Neodiprion lecontei: one gene and its partners. Each later gene encodes a partner of the first gene's protein in a complex. Links are inferred from orthologs where the notes say so. Each region holds a gene or a part of one and is shown on either strand. Other genes may lie near its edges.

Evidence for each region.
Region 2: the proteins of UDP-N-acetylglucosamine--peptide N-acetylglucosaminyltransferase 110 kDa subunit (region 1) and TGF-beta-activated kinase 1 and MAP3K7-binding protein 1 are in contact, whole or in part, in a crystal structure (PDB 4AY6), measured with the Homo sapiens proteins. The link is inferred for Neodiprion lecontei from reciprocal best matches to the Homo sapiens genes OGT and TAB1. Residues at the interface, in NP_858058.1 of Homo sapiens: Asp441, His506, His508, His509, Asn567, His568, Pro569, Gly641, Tyr642, Thr643, Lys644, Ala646, Gln849, Phe878, Pro904, Val905, Ala906, Pro907; in NP_006107.1 of Homo sapiens: Pro389, Val390, Val392, Pro393, Tyr394, Ser396, Ala397, Gln398, Ser399.
Region 3: UDP-N-acetylglucosamine--peptide N-acetylglucosaminyltransferase 110 kDa subunit (region 1) and KAT8 regulatory NSL complex subunit 2 share a complex: the UniProt entries of both Homo sapiens proteins name them as parts of the NSL complex. The link is inferred for Neodiprion lecontei from reciprocal best matches to the Homo sapiens genes OGT and KANSL2.

What each region holds. Positions count from the first base shown.
Region 1 is NC_060261.1:5,988,754-5,993,296, reverse strand, and holds the start of UDP-N-acetylglucosamine--peptide N-acetylglucosaminyltransferase 110 kDa subunit, read left to right. Parts: upstream 1-1,506; 5' UTR 1,507-1,735; coding exon 1,736-1,961; intron 1,962-2,612; coding exon 2,613-2,763; intron 2,764-2,923; coding exon 2,924-3,167; intron 3,168-3,396; coding exon 3,397-3,465; intron 3,466-4,543. UniProt on the Homo sapiens protein: Catalyzes the transfer of a single N-acetylglucosamine from UDP-GlcNAc to a serine or threonine residue in cytoplasmic and nuclear proteins resulting in their modification with a beta-linked N-acetylglucosamine (O-GlcNAc).
Region 2 is NC_060262.1:385,861-390,427, forward strand, and holds TGF-beta-activated kinase 1 and MAP3K7-binding protein 1, read right to left. Parts: upstream 2,903-4,567; 5' UTR 2,790-2,902; coding exon 2,699-2,789; intron 2,549-2,698; coding exon 2,311-2,548; intron 2,238-2,310; coding exon 2,105-2,237; intron 2,011-2,104; coding exon 1,770-2,010; intron 1,638-1,769; coding exon 1,381-1,637; intron 1,302-1,380; coding exon 840-1,301; 3' UTR 537-839; downstream 1-536. UniProt on the Homo sapiens protein: Key adapter protein that plays an essential role in JNK and NF-kappa-B activation and proinflammatory cytokines production in response to stimulation with TLRs and cytokines.
Region 3 is NC_060264.1:32,075,408-32,081,815, forward strand, and holds KAT8 regulatory NSL complex subunit 2, read right to left. Parts: upstream 4,664-6,408; 5' UTR 4,365-4,663; coding exon 4,355-4,364; intron 4,200-4,354; coding exon 3,953-4,199; intron 3,832-3,952; coding exon 3,650-3,831; intron 3,544-3,649; coding exon 3,375-3,543; exon of another isoform or gene 3,299-3,374; intron 2,741-3,298; exon of another isoform or gene 2,633-2,740; intron 2,538-2,632; exon of another isoform or gene 2,344-2,537; intron 2,128-2,343; coding exon 1,949-2,127; intron 1,868-1,948; coding exon 1,731-1,867; intron 1,572-1,730; coding exon 1,446-1,571; intron 1,387-1,445; coding exon 1,246-1,386; intron 1,115-1,245; coding exon 866-1,114; 3' UTR 537-865; downstream 1-536. Other genes in the region: cyclin-T, read left to right, coding at 6,059-6,204. UniProt on the Homo sapiens protein: Non-catalytic component of the NSL histone acetyltransferase complex, a multiprotein complex that mediates histone H4 acetylation at 'Lys-5'- and 'Lys-8' (H4K5ac and H4K8ac) at transcription start sites and promotes transcription initiation.

The DNA.
Region 1 (4,543 bases):
GATACGTATGGTTATCTGTCACCTGCTGCTCACGATATTGACATAGAGTAACGTCATTGCGGCTTATCGGCATGATGCTCGTACGAGAAATGGTATAAATTCAGCACGAGGTTTGTTGACCCGTCGCTATCCGTCGTTAGTTAAAATCTCGCTAATAATCGGAGGGACAAATATGTAAAAAAAACCACAACGTGTGGTCAGTCGAAAATCTATAGATAGGTACACGAGTCTTCGCACGAGGAGAAACTTAATTCTCGTTCAAAATGAACAATATCAATAAAAATGATACTATTATTTGAATTTCACGAATAAAAATAGTACCTAATCGTAGATATTTACAATCAACGCAATTCCAAGTTTTGTATTTCTTCGCTGTAAGAACATCCCAAATGTAAATCCTTCCGAAATACCTAACATTCATTTGTTAATTCTTATCGTTAGCAGTTTCCTTGATCGGAAATCTCTTTGTTCCTTGTCGCAAGTTGATGTTTTCTTTTTTCGTCTTTTTATTTTAGTTTCTTGGTTTTTTTCCGCTATTCCCCTCGCCAGTGAAACTTCTCCCTCCCTTCCTAGCCGTGCGACCGAGCGAAACGGTTGGCTGCTCGCAACCCGTCGCCACTGTCAAAACCGATGGAATATTCCACTGCGTACTCCACCGACTATGCCATCTGCTCACCGGCCCCGGCAGCGCGGCGAAAGGGGGGCAGGGTCCCCTCGTCCTTTCGTCGGGTTAACCCCTCTTCCCCTCACCGCCAGCAAAGTATCATGATTTCGAGCACCATAGGTCGGAACACTTTTTGTTGGAAATTTATATTACGTACTTGCAACGCGTCTTACACGAAATTGCATAATCGTTGTTTGCCCGAAGTCTGTATACGTTACGTAGGAACAGCAATTGAACAGTAATTTTAACGAGGTTGAAGTTAGTAAAGTCATCGTAACGAAACGTTGAGAAAAAAATCACTATTTTCTTATTTTTACAATGATTTTTAAGGAACCAGGATTGAAAAATATGAGTTCATTTCATTTTATAGCGGTTTACTGATTTTCAAAGAGTTCCAAAATTTCGAAATAACGGTTTTTCCTCGTCACAAATCGCGTTTCGATAACGTTACTAACTTCAATACGATGAATTTTACGGGTGAACGACGAGACAAATGACGTACTATCAATTGCCGAAATGCAGGGGGATTTCGGTAAGAGATATAGGTACATCCTACTTGTTTTTTTTCTTTTCATGCTTTGCTAACAAGATCTTATCAAGTTTGTACGAATGTACGTACCTCTAACGTCTCTTTGTAAGAGAAAATAAAATTCGTCTTCGGATCATCATTACGAGTACTCGTTATCGGCAAGGAGATTTAATTTTCATTTGCTTTCTGCGTTTGCCGGCGAACACCAACCGCCTCGACGTGTAGGTTCGGCCCTGTTTCCTCCGTCCTCCCCTCCTTCCAATCCCATCACCTTGCTCACCCCTACTTTGGGCTTTGGCCCCCATCGCACAGAGGCCAGCTAGCATCAAGCGGCTTACAGACGGAGAACGTCGAGTCCGGAATTAAATACGCGGTGTGAAGTTATCCCGAGATTGACGTCGAACTTGTTTCACGGTGTGTTTCACGTCGCGCGTCTTCGTTGTTTCTCGCTCGTTTTTCTCGCGTGCCGGATTTTTGATAAAAAGATAATTAATAAAACTGATTAAGTAGATAAAGAGAATCATCCTCGAGCGCGGTTAAATATGATGAGCAGCCAGGTGCAAAATCGCGGCAACGTAAACAACGATCCGAAGGGTGTTACGGCCGTTAACAGCCTTGTGATTAACCCCGATAGCGGTACTCTACAAAGTATTCACACTCTTCAAAACGGCCAGAACATGTTGGTCGTTACGCAGGACGCACAAGGCAAGGAGGTTCTTGCCGTCGCTGACGAACAAACGATTGTTAACCTCACCCTAGATTCGTATTGTTCGTATTCCATTTCCTCGTTTTTTTTTTTTCTCATCCTTATATCCGTCGCTTTCAAACTGCCTCTTTTTTTTGTAGTCGCTATAGATTCGACATCACCTTTCAGTGTCCGATAATATTTACAGTACTGGTTATAGAAATTCTTACTTTTCATCAATTTTATCGATGGAGATTTATTCCACAAATTTTATCCTGTACCCTCTTTTCTTTCACTTTTCCGGTCACCTCACAGTTGATTAAAATTTTGAATAAAAAAATGTGTAGATGCGATTAAATGAACTCAGATTTCAAGTAACAGTTTGTCTCGGTGGAAATTATTCACGCTCCGATTCCTTGTAGCAGAGAAAAAAAAAAAATAAGAAATTGTAACCTCTCTCCAAGTGAACCTAACGAATCGTTTCTGTCCAGATATTTCCGTTCTAAGATTATCCTGCTCAGGGGTTTAAGAATAATTTTTAAATTACTCGAAAATATTTTCTCTGCCAAGAAATACAGTGGAACTTTTTCTTCCTACGTTTGATGAAAGATTTGCAAAAGTTTTTAGATAACTTACTAAAAAGTTAGCGACTATAGTATTCCGAACTACAATGAAATTTCGTCGACTTTTATTCTGGTCAATTCATATTCATGCTTTCTCTTTTCTCATTACAGGGTTGTTGGAATTGGCGCATAGAGAGTACCAGGCAGGAGATTACGAAAATGCGGAAAGACATTGCATGCAGTTATGGAGGCAAGAGACCAACAACACTGGCGTTCTTCTTCTCCTGTCTTCTATTCACTTCCAATGTCGAAGGCTCGATAAGTATGTTTTATGCAAATAAATATTTTGGAAAATATTATACTACTCGGTGTAGTTGAAGGAAATTAGAATTCATATCCAAAGAGAATTGTATATTCATTGTTGACGGCCGACTTGTAAATGCGTTTTTTTTTTTTATTAACCTGAGACCTTTTCTTTTAAGGTCTGCACACTTCAGCTCACTGGCTATAAAGCAAAATCCGTTACTCGCGGAGGCGTACAGCAACTTGGGTAACGTTTTCAAAGAGCGTGGCCAGCTACAAGAGGCTTTGGAAAATTATCGTCATGCTGTCAGGCTCAAGCCCGACTTCATCGATGGGTACATCAATCTCGCAGCTGCATTGGTCGCTGCCGGTGATATGGAACAAGCGGTCCAGGCCTACGTTACCGCTCTGCAATACAATCCCGTAAGTGGATTATCGTTGATTAATTTGAATGGTTTTTCTGTGATTTGTTGTGCTCGAATTAACTGAAAGTTTCTTACGACTCAATAAGTCATTCTTGTATGATTGAAGAAAGAGAACTTGAATACCTGCTGCTGTGTTCGAATACATTGAAAAGAAATTTGTTAATAATATAAATCTTACGGTATTCGAGGCCAGTTTTGTCTAACACATGGTATGCAATTTGTTACAGGATCTCTACTGTGTGCGCAGCGATCTTGGTAATCTTTTGAAAGCATTAGCAAGGCTTGATGAGGCCAAGGTAAGTTGACGTTCAAACCCTGTGTAAGTTTAGACACTAATCCTACACGCTACATCCTATATGTTTTTGTACCACTGTTGAATAGTGCGTAAAACTACACTTGAAGTCGTTTTACGATGATCAAAGTATCGCTACGAATAATTAATTCTCGTGAGTTTAAAATGCGTTGTTGAAACCGTTTTCCGACTAGCAGAAGCAGGCATTTTCTATTTGTTACTTCGGAGTAAGATTCCTATAAACTTAGAAGCTGTTAAATATAGAAATTAACGCGTGTTTTTTTTTTCAATTTTCGGAACTTCAAACTCGTACAAAGGCATATAGGTGTCTCGTGTCTCCTGGTTAGTGTAGTTCTGAGGAATGTGTAGAGCGAATGTTTGTGTATATTTAGCTCATGCAGAAAGCTGTCTTTCTTTGCCACAATAACGATATTATAAAGAAAAGCTGCTGCGCGGCGCGCGATCTGCCATCAAAATAAAAACATGTTTACATTTTCCATTCTCTTGTTTCAGCATTTAACGTTTTGATTGCAGACGAAATATTGTTGTGTACTCTTGCTTTTGGGAATTTTGGGTTTACCATGTTTGACGCCTGTTCGTTGGCAAAAACTTTTTTTCAATTTTTCATTATATTCAACAAATGTTTCAAACTTGCAAGTCCCGAAAAAAGCGGTGGTAAAATTTGTGTCAGACATGGTTAATGGGTTTAGGTTTGTGAAGTTGTTGGAGGAGGCGCGGAAACAACGTCAACAATGCGCGAATTGATGCAACGCCATTAATTACGATCACTCTAAATGGTGCTACAACAATTGATTTCAAATACCTCTTTGTTGATCCTGACAATATTCATCATGCCACTAAAAGATTTTTTTTTTTTCCTAAACACTTGCTACATGCAAGTTGTCACAATGTGTAAAGTAATTTCCTATCTGAAAATAGTCAAATCGATGTGTAGCATGAAACAGGATCAGCAGCGCGCGTGTAGTATGTAAGTTTTTCCTGAATGTTTGTTCCTACAATTTCTGTTTTTTTCTTTTTTTTTTTTGTACAGCGCTTTCTTACATCCATACAACGGTTGATTT
Region 2 (4,567 bases), on another chromosome or scaffold:
TTGGAGATATTGGATCGTCGACTAAACCAGAAACGTACTGCGTGTCAGTCGCGATGAGATTCTAGACCTCGTTTACCATTTTACTTTTAACGCCGTACGTGGGTGCAGTTATCTATGGATTGATAATGACGATAGAAGAAAAAAAACTATTTAAATGTCACTGTGTATAGTAATCGTATACACGGGTAATAAACTAATACCAACAGGAACTTAGCCTTTTAGTCTCACGGTTGTCGCAAACTCGATCCTGAAATCATCTTGATCCTACAGTGAGGGAGAAAACAAACCAGCAAACTACTCTTTAACTGTCCGATTGGGCGATGGTTGTATTAAAAAAATGTACATAATAAAATAAAATTTTGCCTTGCGACAAACAGTTCAGCTCAATTAGAACATTAATAAAGCGATTTCGAAAATTGTGACGAATGATTGGGATGGGAAAATAACTGTTCAAATCTAAATTTTCCGAATAGTATAGCAATCGTTTATAAATAATTTATAAAGAAATATATATATATATATTTTTTTTTATCATATCGTTTCCATCATTTTTAATAACGAGATGACATTTTACCGATATGTGATTAATGAATGCTATGTGATCAAGACTGCATTGTCCGTTTGTTGCAGCAAATTGATCAACGATATTAAGGGATAGTAATGGCCCAGTTATCACGAAAAACTTAATTTACTAACACAAAGTCATAATATTACAAATATCTTACAGTGCATCCCTACAAAGAATCAATAATAATAATCGTAACAATAGGCGAGTTGAGATCTAGGTAATGACTAATGAAAAAAAAATCAAATAGACAACGACACACTCGTAGTCGTGCTTAAAAATTGATACCCTCTGGCAAGGTTCCCTCCTCGCGTCTCTTCTCAACAGTTTTGAAATACTCTGAAAAGTCGACGTACGGTTTGATTTTAGTATCTCTGTTCACAGGCTTTCCACCCGGTGGGTACATGTCTGAAGTGGTCGAAGTTTCAGTCGTTGATGTATCACAGTTTTGTTGATCGGACGTATTTGTTCCGCTGCTCGAATAGTAGTCATTGTCCATTCGCGATGGTACGGGCACAGTTTGCACGTCGGGATTAAACCTCACCGACTGAATAGTAGGGCTTTTTAGGACGTTGGGCAAAGGAAAGTTAAAGTTTCTCACTAACAATGTTATGTCGTCTCTTTTTCCAGTAGTCAATGTATTCTGGGAATTGCTCATGTTGACGTCATGATGTATCCTCACTATTTTATCCACTACTGCCTGCGCCACTCCCGTCAATGTCGACTGTACCCTAAACTGGAGACAAAAAGTACTCGTGAATCACTTTCGCTTGACCAGACTCGAACAAACATCTTCCCGTTGTTCATAAACGTACCTGTTCGACGGCCATTTGGGCCAACTCTTTGTTGACCTGATCAGTTCCGGTCGCTTCCTCCAGCGATTTGTAGAGACCTCTCGACATGAGTAGCAAAAATCTACACGAATCGTCGAGTTCTATACCACCGTGTATCTCCGGCTCTGCTATTATTGGCTCTGTGCTCGCCGATGCCAATTCCTCAAATTCCCTGTATCCCCCTTTGACTAGGTAATTGCCAAGGCATCTCGTGTTTTCCTGGTTTCCAAGGTGTGAACCTAGAGAAGCACAGTTACGGTTACAGCGCAAGCTGATGTGTCAAAGAAAAATATTTGGGGGGTGGGGATTCTCTAAATTGTCTTGTTTTGTACTCATTTCGCCCTATTACGGTAACTTATTGTTATAGAGACCTTGTTTAACAGAGTCAATGTCCAATCCAAGCTGAGACAGCCTCAACAGCTCATCCTCGTTCCTCAGATCGTGATCTACACTTAATTGCACGACTCTCAAGACCTGATTGCTGTCAGTTCTGCAGAGTAATGCTCTACTGTCTCCGACGTTTGCTACGTATAAGCGTCCGCCGTAAACTAAGGCTACCACCGCGCTTGTTCCAGCCGACAATTCGCTGTTCAAAGAACTCAACTTGTCCACCTAAAAAGAAAGAAAAATAACAATTGTTACACACGATCACAGTAGATTTATTACAACGTTTGTTTCATATGTCGTAAAACAAAAAAACAAGTACCAAGTATGGAAATTTTTGGTAAGTTTCATACGAATTCAGCCCATCCGGTATGTCGAATTGCAGACTAGCCCGTTCTGCCAGAATATCTCCAATAGAGTCTAGATATCCACGTTCCACGGTAATGAAAGCTTGCCTGAGAAAAGAAGCGACGACAATATTAGTCCTAGGTTTGATTTACCTTTCCAAGAATATAGGAAATTACTTACCTTAATACTTCTTTAACTTCCTCGTCGGTCGATTTGCCACTGAGCTGTCCTAAGAGAATTTCAGCTGCCATACGCTGAAGCGCGAAAGTAGCCGCCTTCGTTCCCTCGTGTCCATCGAAAACTCCGTATAAAAAAGTCGAGTCGTCGTACCGACAGTGAAAACTACGGTCTTCGAACGGATGATCCTCCTGCCGGCCACCATCCTCCCTATATATTTGATTCGTTGAAAACCCCACACCTATGGAATCGCCATCAAAATTTTCACCCATTTTCAATTAGAAATTGATTCGAGCGTTTTTCATCAAACATTTTGGACTTCTGTTATTTTTGAGTAGTCTTCAGTTAGGCTAGACTAGGTTAGGACTTGTTGGAATTGTCAATCGTCTACCTGACTGTTTGCAAACGGGCAAGTCGTCGGTCCAACTATGCTGGGCGTCTTGATACGTTAGCAAATTAGGCCTCTCTGCTCTGGTCGGCATCTCGACAATTTTATTCTACAATCACTACGCGTTTCCTACCCACGGAGATTGACGCGTACCTCCATTTCCCATTACGATAGCATTATGAACTATGCATTGCATGCCTTTCGAGATGAGTCAGGTGGGCGAATTCTGCCAGCGAATGAAAATCACTCGATCAAACACAGATTGCGCACGCAGCTTATCGAGCGATCGGATCAAATGAAAGAAAAAAGTAACGATAATGAACGTGATCGTGGGTCGAGAGAATCGGTACGTTTCAAATGATGTGCAGCTATATTGTTTTATACGTTACAATTTATCAGTAGTATTGAATGTACGATAATTCTGTCTTTTACTTCGCAACTCGCAGCTAAAACGGCATATCTGTGATACCGGACCTAAACCTGGAAAAATCAGCTCGGTGAGATGGCAAATTGCAACTCCGGTTGTCTATCTGTAGGTGCAGAGATGACTTTTTATGTCGAAGCCCGCGGTACGTAGTTATTTCCATCTCAACGATTCTGAAGTTTCGCTTACAATTCGAACGAAATACATTGATCAGAAATTTTCCACGGACTGCATGCGCGTTGACTAGACATTTACTGACAGTTTCATCGAAGCCAGTTGTAACTGTCACGCTACGGGTAATTCGATTTTAGTCATTTGAGCATGGTTTCAACTTCCCCGATGACGTCAACGCCGTCCAACTTGTCCAGGCGACGCGCGAGGTCGCCTTTGATCAATCCTTTGAACCCCTGTTTGTCAACCCCTTCCAGGAACCTGGAACCCGACGTCGGTATCATTACTCTTGTATTCCGATGCTGCATCCGGTGTATCCGATTCATCCACATTTACCACCGTGTAATCAAAATTTCTCACTTTTCCAAATCGTGTAACCGTTCTATATCTTTCTTGATCCTCTGGACCTGCTCCATGCGAGAGACGTTCAAAAAATTGACCAATTCCTCGGTACCCATGTCGGTTAAAGGTACGTCTGAAAATGTTCGATAAGGAGGCAGCTGAGTTTATCATCTTTTTGAAAATAAAGATAAATTCGGGTCTACCTCCGAAGACCGATCTTCTCATTCTCTTATCGTGAGTATGATCTAGACGGATTTAGAGCATCTGCCGTATATTTTTCAACTCACCTTATCTCAATAGGTGAGTCTTACGGAAAAACTAGCTAATTTGTTATTCTGTTAAACCAGGAACCCTGGTGAAAAAACCCCTGGTACAAATAATTCTACGAATTTCTATGGAAATATCTACGAAGTTTTACGGCAATTTCTATGCAAAGGTACAGGATTTGGGTGAATTCGTAGTTTTTCTTAATAATAATAATCTACGAAAAACTGTACGAATCGTTACGATATCTCGAGTTCAAAAACTATGGATCGACCCAAATCCTGTACTTTTGCATAGAAATTTGCGTAAAACTTCGTAGATATTTTCACGGAAATTAATAGAATTATTTTCACCAGGATATAAGTATATCCATGCTAGAACACACGCCTGGTTCATTCCCTTGAAACAATACCCGGTGGTGAGTTGTCCGGGGTCAGGAGTGTCGTGATATCGGGCGTCGAGGCGACCGCGTCGTCGGGGATCGTCACCGGCACTCCGGCTCTGTATATCTGCTCTAACGGGGTTTGCTCCGTGTACGGAGTCGGCCCTCGGGACATCATCTCGTTGTAGGTCAGACTGACATTACCGCCCTTCTCGACCGATGGAGAACTACCGCCGGACTCGACGTTCCTATTATTATCTTCTCGCGGTCGAACGGAGGGCGATGACGA
Region 3 (6,408 bases), on another chromosome or scaffold:
TCTAGAAATGAAAAACATGAATTTTGTAAAACTTATTATAAGCTATTTGCAATTTATTTTATCAAGTCCTCCTTTTATTTATAATATCTTCGAAGTACGTTATCTCAACTTCTTTAATTATAAATTCTTTGATCGTGATCGAAAACGGTGTAAGCGTCTAAGTACTTATAAATATCATTTTGAAATAACAACTTGGACATAATTGTATCTGTACATACATACCTTTCTAAAACCTTTGCAGTAGTTTTGCGCTGATGATCTTGACTCTGATTTGATTAAAATTTCACATCAGGAATTCAGTATAAACCAATTGTGTTTTCGATCGATTTATATTTTAGTTTATAATGTAACAATGAAAATAGAAAAAAGAAACTGCCATAAACTTTACTCTTCTTTTCGGGCTACACTATTTTTCATTCAAATTCATTCCAACTTGGAATTTTACCTGATATCCCGTACGAATCGATGAACAGATCGAATAATTCTCTTTATCCGTTCGAGTAAATAAACAGGTAAATGAAGTAACTCAGGTATGCAATGATTGTATTAATAATTATTTATTTACAAGTTGAACAAACAATCGATTGGTCATGCTTAAAATGAAGTTGCTATATTTTAGAAGTTTTTGCCTTATCACTTAACTATAAAGACTAATGTTTCTAGATTCCTGGGATTTCCTATAGACTTTAAAAACCAGCAACTAACTGTTGCAGATCGAAAACAAGAAAGTAATTAATTATAGATTATCTGGAAACAGTGCTCGGCAGATTTTTAATGGTATTTTATAAAACAAATTAGTCCGTTTGAACTTTTGTACAGTAAATAAGTAAAAGTTTTTTTTTGTTCTTTTCAATATCAATAGTCATCAAATTAGAATAAGCTCGTCTTTGTCGCTTAGCTGTGCGGTTAAACTGAATGCGGTATCTGTGCTGGCCTCACTGTTTAAGCTATCGTTGAACGCTACTTTTTTACCCGCCGCATCGTTCATCTCTCTCATTAATCCTGCCATATCGTCATCTGGGTCTATTTCTTGAGTTTCTCCAACTACGTCTATCTCCATCGACTGGTTATCCAATACTGAAGCTTCCTTTATAACGGGTTTCGCTTCTTCGAACTGAGTGGAAATAGAAAACGTGTTTTTAATTACAACTGTACATATTATTACATCATTGTTTTGTTATCGATTATACAAATGTGTGCATTAATTATTTTTGATTCATGCGATGAAAAGATCACACATCTTACCACCATAGATTCAAGTTTTAAAGGCGGCGGTAAATTCATGTGAAAGACGCACGACGAATCGAAAACGACTGGGACAGGCTCGTGGCATTCTATATCAGCTCTAACAGCTCCACAGGCTTTGAACAATACTTGATGCTGATCCTGCATGTTAAGAAGAATTACTAAATTAACGATCAATTGTCGAATTAACATTAATTCACCTTTAGTATATGTTTACGGCAATGTCTTGCTGCCGGTAGCGTTCTTTCCCCACACTTCACTCCGCCTTCGGTGAAAATGCATTTCGTAACGTTGGGAGGCTTCTGCGCTGGACCCTCGGTTGCCTGCTAGATGAAAATTATGTTAAATACATTTGCTATATGCTAAACTTTATGTTGTAAAAGTTTCAATTTTTTCACTTTGAGTTGTGAGTAAATGTTGAAAAATATATTTCCTTTCAATCAATGATGATGACGAAATTTTAATATATGAATTGTTTTTTATACCTGAGCTCGCCTCTCCAATGATTTTTTGTAAAGGATAGCTTCGACGCCACTCCGCCTGTGGTAAGAGTTCAGGGCTTTTAATTTATCATAAATCTTTTTTTCCTTAGCGGTTTCTTTCGGCTGATCGTGAATGCTACCTGTGTTTTAAAATTAATCGAACAATAAATATTAGTTAAAAATTACATTGCTGCTGGTCGATCTAAGCTCGCCAGACTTACAGGTTGTTTCTTTTTCCTTTTTCACTGTGTGCAGGTACTTTCGACGTTTTTCTTTGAATATATGATGCAGCCTTCTGAATTGGTCAATGTAGAGCGATTGGAGCCTGATGAGCTTTTCCCTTGCTATGTATATCACCTCTTCGGCGGTGAAGATTCCGGCGTGCCTTAAAAAATTAATACTAATGATTCAATAGATAAAAAGTGTCTCTGTCACGCTGGAAGCAGCTACTACAGAAAAGAAGATTTAGGGTACCTCATTGGGCAAATACTCGAAATGGAAATAAAATTATCGTGGAAGAAAAGTTGATCACTGTTCGTTTGTGGAGTTTGTAAAAATATCTAAAGGGGACTAGATATCGCTACAAATCATTAAATTCTTTTTCCTCCTATTCCAGAGTTGAAGCGTTTCCATCTCACACTGTCACCTGAAAGAAGTCTGAAAGAAAAAATAATTTTCCGCCAACGACCATGATGTCAAAGGTTCAGCCTGTTGGTCTGGCAGGTCAAAGTTACTATACACGGTAAGTGAAGCATGCAACAAATTCATGCTGGAATTTCTAAAAGTAGGTGTTTTCTTAAAAACAATGAGAGAACTCTGCAAGAGGATAATTGAAAATAAAAAAAATGCTAAAATTCTCTTCCCAGCAAAGATTTGTAGATGCAGAGTATTTTCTTGACTTTCAGTTTTCCCAGCTCTGTGATATCACGAGCAATCCACCATTGGGTAAATGTTAAGCTTATGATTGTCTCTCAGGGTTAAATCAACATCCAGTTAGAACAATAAAAATGAAGGTAAGTAACTATTTTGGTATTTAGTCCCCTTATTTAGTAATGCACAAGCAAAAGCAAGCTAGCGTTACAATACGTAATATAAAATTCAAACCTTACTTATAATTAATCTTCTAAAAATATGTGGTCACATTATTTAATAGGTACATATTTTTAAACAACTCTCAAAGCGTATGACGGTATTTCACATAGATTACAGGCAATTTGTTGGAAAGTTCCCTCAATAGTCAAATGCAAAATTTTACGATCAGACGAATCATCATTTTTAGATAAAAATATAGAATTTTGAACATTCATTCCCCTTTAATGCCGTAAGCACCTGAAATTTGAACCCTTTATATTCGCGGAATGTCTAATATTTTCCGAATAGTTTAAGGCTCTCAAAAATGATTCTAAAAAATTCTGTGATCATTTCATGAATCCATAACTTTAAAGTAGATTGAAAACTTCGTATCCCTGCAAATAATTTGAATAGAAATGAGAAGCTCAAATTTATAATTTGCATGTGAGATACTTGCATCAGAGCCAATAATTCCAATTTCAATTGCTGCGATATTTGAGTTGCAGGACAGTATACGTGTAAACAATGAATTATCCAAGCCGAGTTCTTGTGCAGAGTGTCAAAGATCCGACATACTTAAGTGGGTCCTCCTGCGAACTTTGGAGGCTTTCGTCTTCGCTATCGTCGAGGAATGCACCACGTAAAGTTTCGCTGACAACTACAGGTTCGACATCGCTATCCGAAGAGCTTGCGTAGTCAAGGACATCACAACCACTGGCATTTATTCTATAGGCATCAATTTCAGCTGAAAAATAGAACACACCTAATGAACAACCACGAAAAAGCTGAAGCAGCGATAATGTTAAAAAAAAATTAAAGGTGTTATATCTCTAGAAAAGATGGGCCCTCACCAAAAGGATCCAGAACCTTCACCTTTCCTTCTTCTTCCTCCGTATCCTCCGCACTAGAATCTGTTGGCTTAACATAGTGGCTTAGATTAAGAAGCAGAGTTTCCGGGGTCTGCGGTGGCGAATGCCGCGATGTGGACTTGATGCGAGCTAACTGTGCCCTTCTCGCATGATCTGAACAGTACCTGAAAAGCGAAGGACCGTACAGAACTTCTCTTGTGAAGCCATTCATCGTCGTTTCAAGGTATGAAGTTGATTTCAATTTAAATAAATTCAAACTGAATAAACATTCATTGCTCCACTTACGCAAGATCTCTTCGATCACCTTTCAATGCCGGGTTCTGGCACTTACGGCCATTACTGTTGTAGACAAAACTGCATTGCTTGTAAGGTGCAGAACTATCCTCTAAAATATGTCTGGAGCAATAGGCGTAGCCCGCAAGGCTCTGTTGTTTGCATTCGTATGATCCGTAAGAACAACTTTGACTTTCAGATGAACTCTTTCCAGGTCCAATTCGGGTTGCAGTTGCGTTTGGCACACGAAACATTGCTTCTGGAAATAACGGTGAATATAAAAAATTAACCTTAAAAACCAGGTGACTACAAAAAAAATATTGAGGCTTCAGTACTAAGTTCAATTCAATTGAATTGGATCAGAGAAATTTTTGTTCCATGTTGTGATTCGGTGGAATTAGGCAAAACACATACTTTTTGGCATTGTGAGAAGTGGTGAAAGAGTGCAATTGCGCTAAACTTGCTAATAATCGAGCTCCATCAGTATGAATTCTCCGATTTTTGACGTTTCTCTACATTTGAGGAAGCATTCCTTTGACCAATATTCAACTCTATTGCCACCCGTTTTTCACAATTCGTTCGTTTTGATATTTTTTACAATGAATTGCGCGTTTGATTTTTACTTGAAGATTACCAAAAACCAAATGACGCAAGGCGCTATTCATCCGTATTCAAACTTGCCGCCATTAATATCGATCGCATAATAATGGCGGCGATGTATCGATATTATGACACTAAATGCATGTGCATGTATACTGTATTAAAATAATTTTACGTTATTGATGAATTTGAGAATGCGGGGAGAATTTTAAGGTGATGAACAGATTTATAAAATGGTATAAGTCAATTCGACGACTTCGGATGGAATTTTCGGGTCAAGTAACGCGGTCGAGAGGCGTCGACAACGGATCCGATTAACGGGTTTTGCCGTCGCCATTTTGTTACTGTCGAGATCACTGCGCAGAAGGTTCGCTGCGTACGTATGTACGGTACATACAACGTGTCGAATGTAGTATGTAATTTCCGAAAAAAGCATTAAAACAATGATATCGTTATTCGGAGACGATTGAACGGACTCGGCTCGGTTGGTACTCGATTTTACGAGGAGCAAGGCTCGGCGTGAAGCTGAAATACTCACAACGAACGGTCCCACCGCTGCGACACTGTTGACGGAGTTACAGCGAAAGAAAAACTTTTCCTCGAAGGTCAGCAACGGCCCGTCGAACAGTCTTGCTACAGTTTATACACACGGATGATAACGATGCGACAATAATAACATGCCAGACACACCGGAGACGACATCCTAACCAACAATCCTCCGCCCTCGTCAAATCGCGAAAGCACGCAGCCGACTAAGGGTCCGTTACATAACGGGATCGATCGTTGATGTTTAACAACAGGCCAAGAAGACTGCGAGGACCTCGATCGGGAGATAAACAATCTCTAAGGAGTTGGAAAGGACCAATACAACAAGGTTAGGTTAAGTGCTTCCGATACGATACAGGAGCAAATTACGTCTCCGAAGCTTCGTCCATAAAGTATTCGAACGGCCATAGACCGACGCCTCTCGTCGGCAAAATTGACTCATTGTGTGCTGCCGCGTCACTTGGCACTAAAATCCACAGTCGCGTGGCGCTAGTAACGGGGAAAACATGACCATGGTTGCGTTCCGATTTTGCTCCTGGCGCTGTCAACCATATTTTATCTCTTTTGCGCTGCAGAGTTTGTAAGTAGCTCTCTCCGTTCTAGAGAGTTTTTAGCGCCGCCAGTTAATTTCGAGACGCATCCTATGACGCGCGAGTAAGTGGCAAAAATCACATTTATTATTGCGCTGTGAAAAATTTGTCGAAAATTGATCATCACCTCGGTGAATATACGAAGTATGTACATGTGGGATTAAATTTGAAGGTGTGAATTGCTCTTCGATGGTGCTCTGAGACGATCTTGGAATCGCGGTTTTGAAACTCCATCCTTGTGGTTCGCTTACTTCCGGTTTCCGTGACGTGAAGCTATCTCCTGGCGGGTGGCGGCCGTGATCGCAACCTCGGGAACCTTGAACAACGTGAAGTGCGAAGCCGAGCCTGGGTTTCTGCGTATACGCCAGAAGTGTACATATAAATGGCGGCTGACGAAAAATGGTACTTTACGAAGGAACAATTAGCAACAACCCCGAGCAGAAGATGCGGTTTCGACGCAGATAAAGAGCTAAGTTATCGTCAGCAGGCAGCAAATTTTATACAAGATATGGGACAACGGCTTTCTGTGTATCCTTTTTTAACCTTCGCATTTACCTATCTAAAACGACGCACGCGACATTTCCGCGAATCCAGCGTGCCGCCTTATATCATCGTCTATTGAGTCGCTTCCTAGTTATTCAAAAACCTTCTTCATTTCTCCTATTTTCCTTGTCATCGTCTTCCCGTTTCCTGGACCCTCCGCGCGTTTGGCGTCCCAAACTAGTGTGAGTC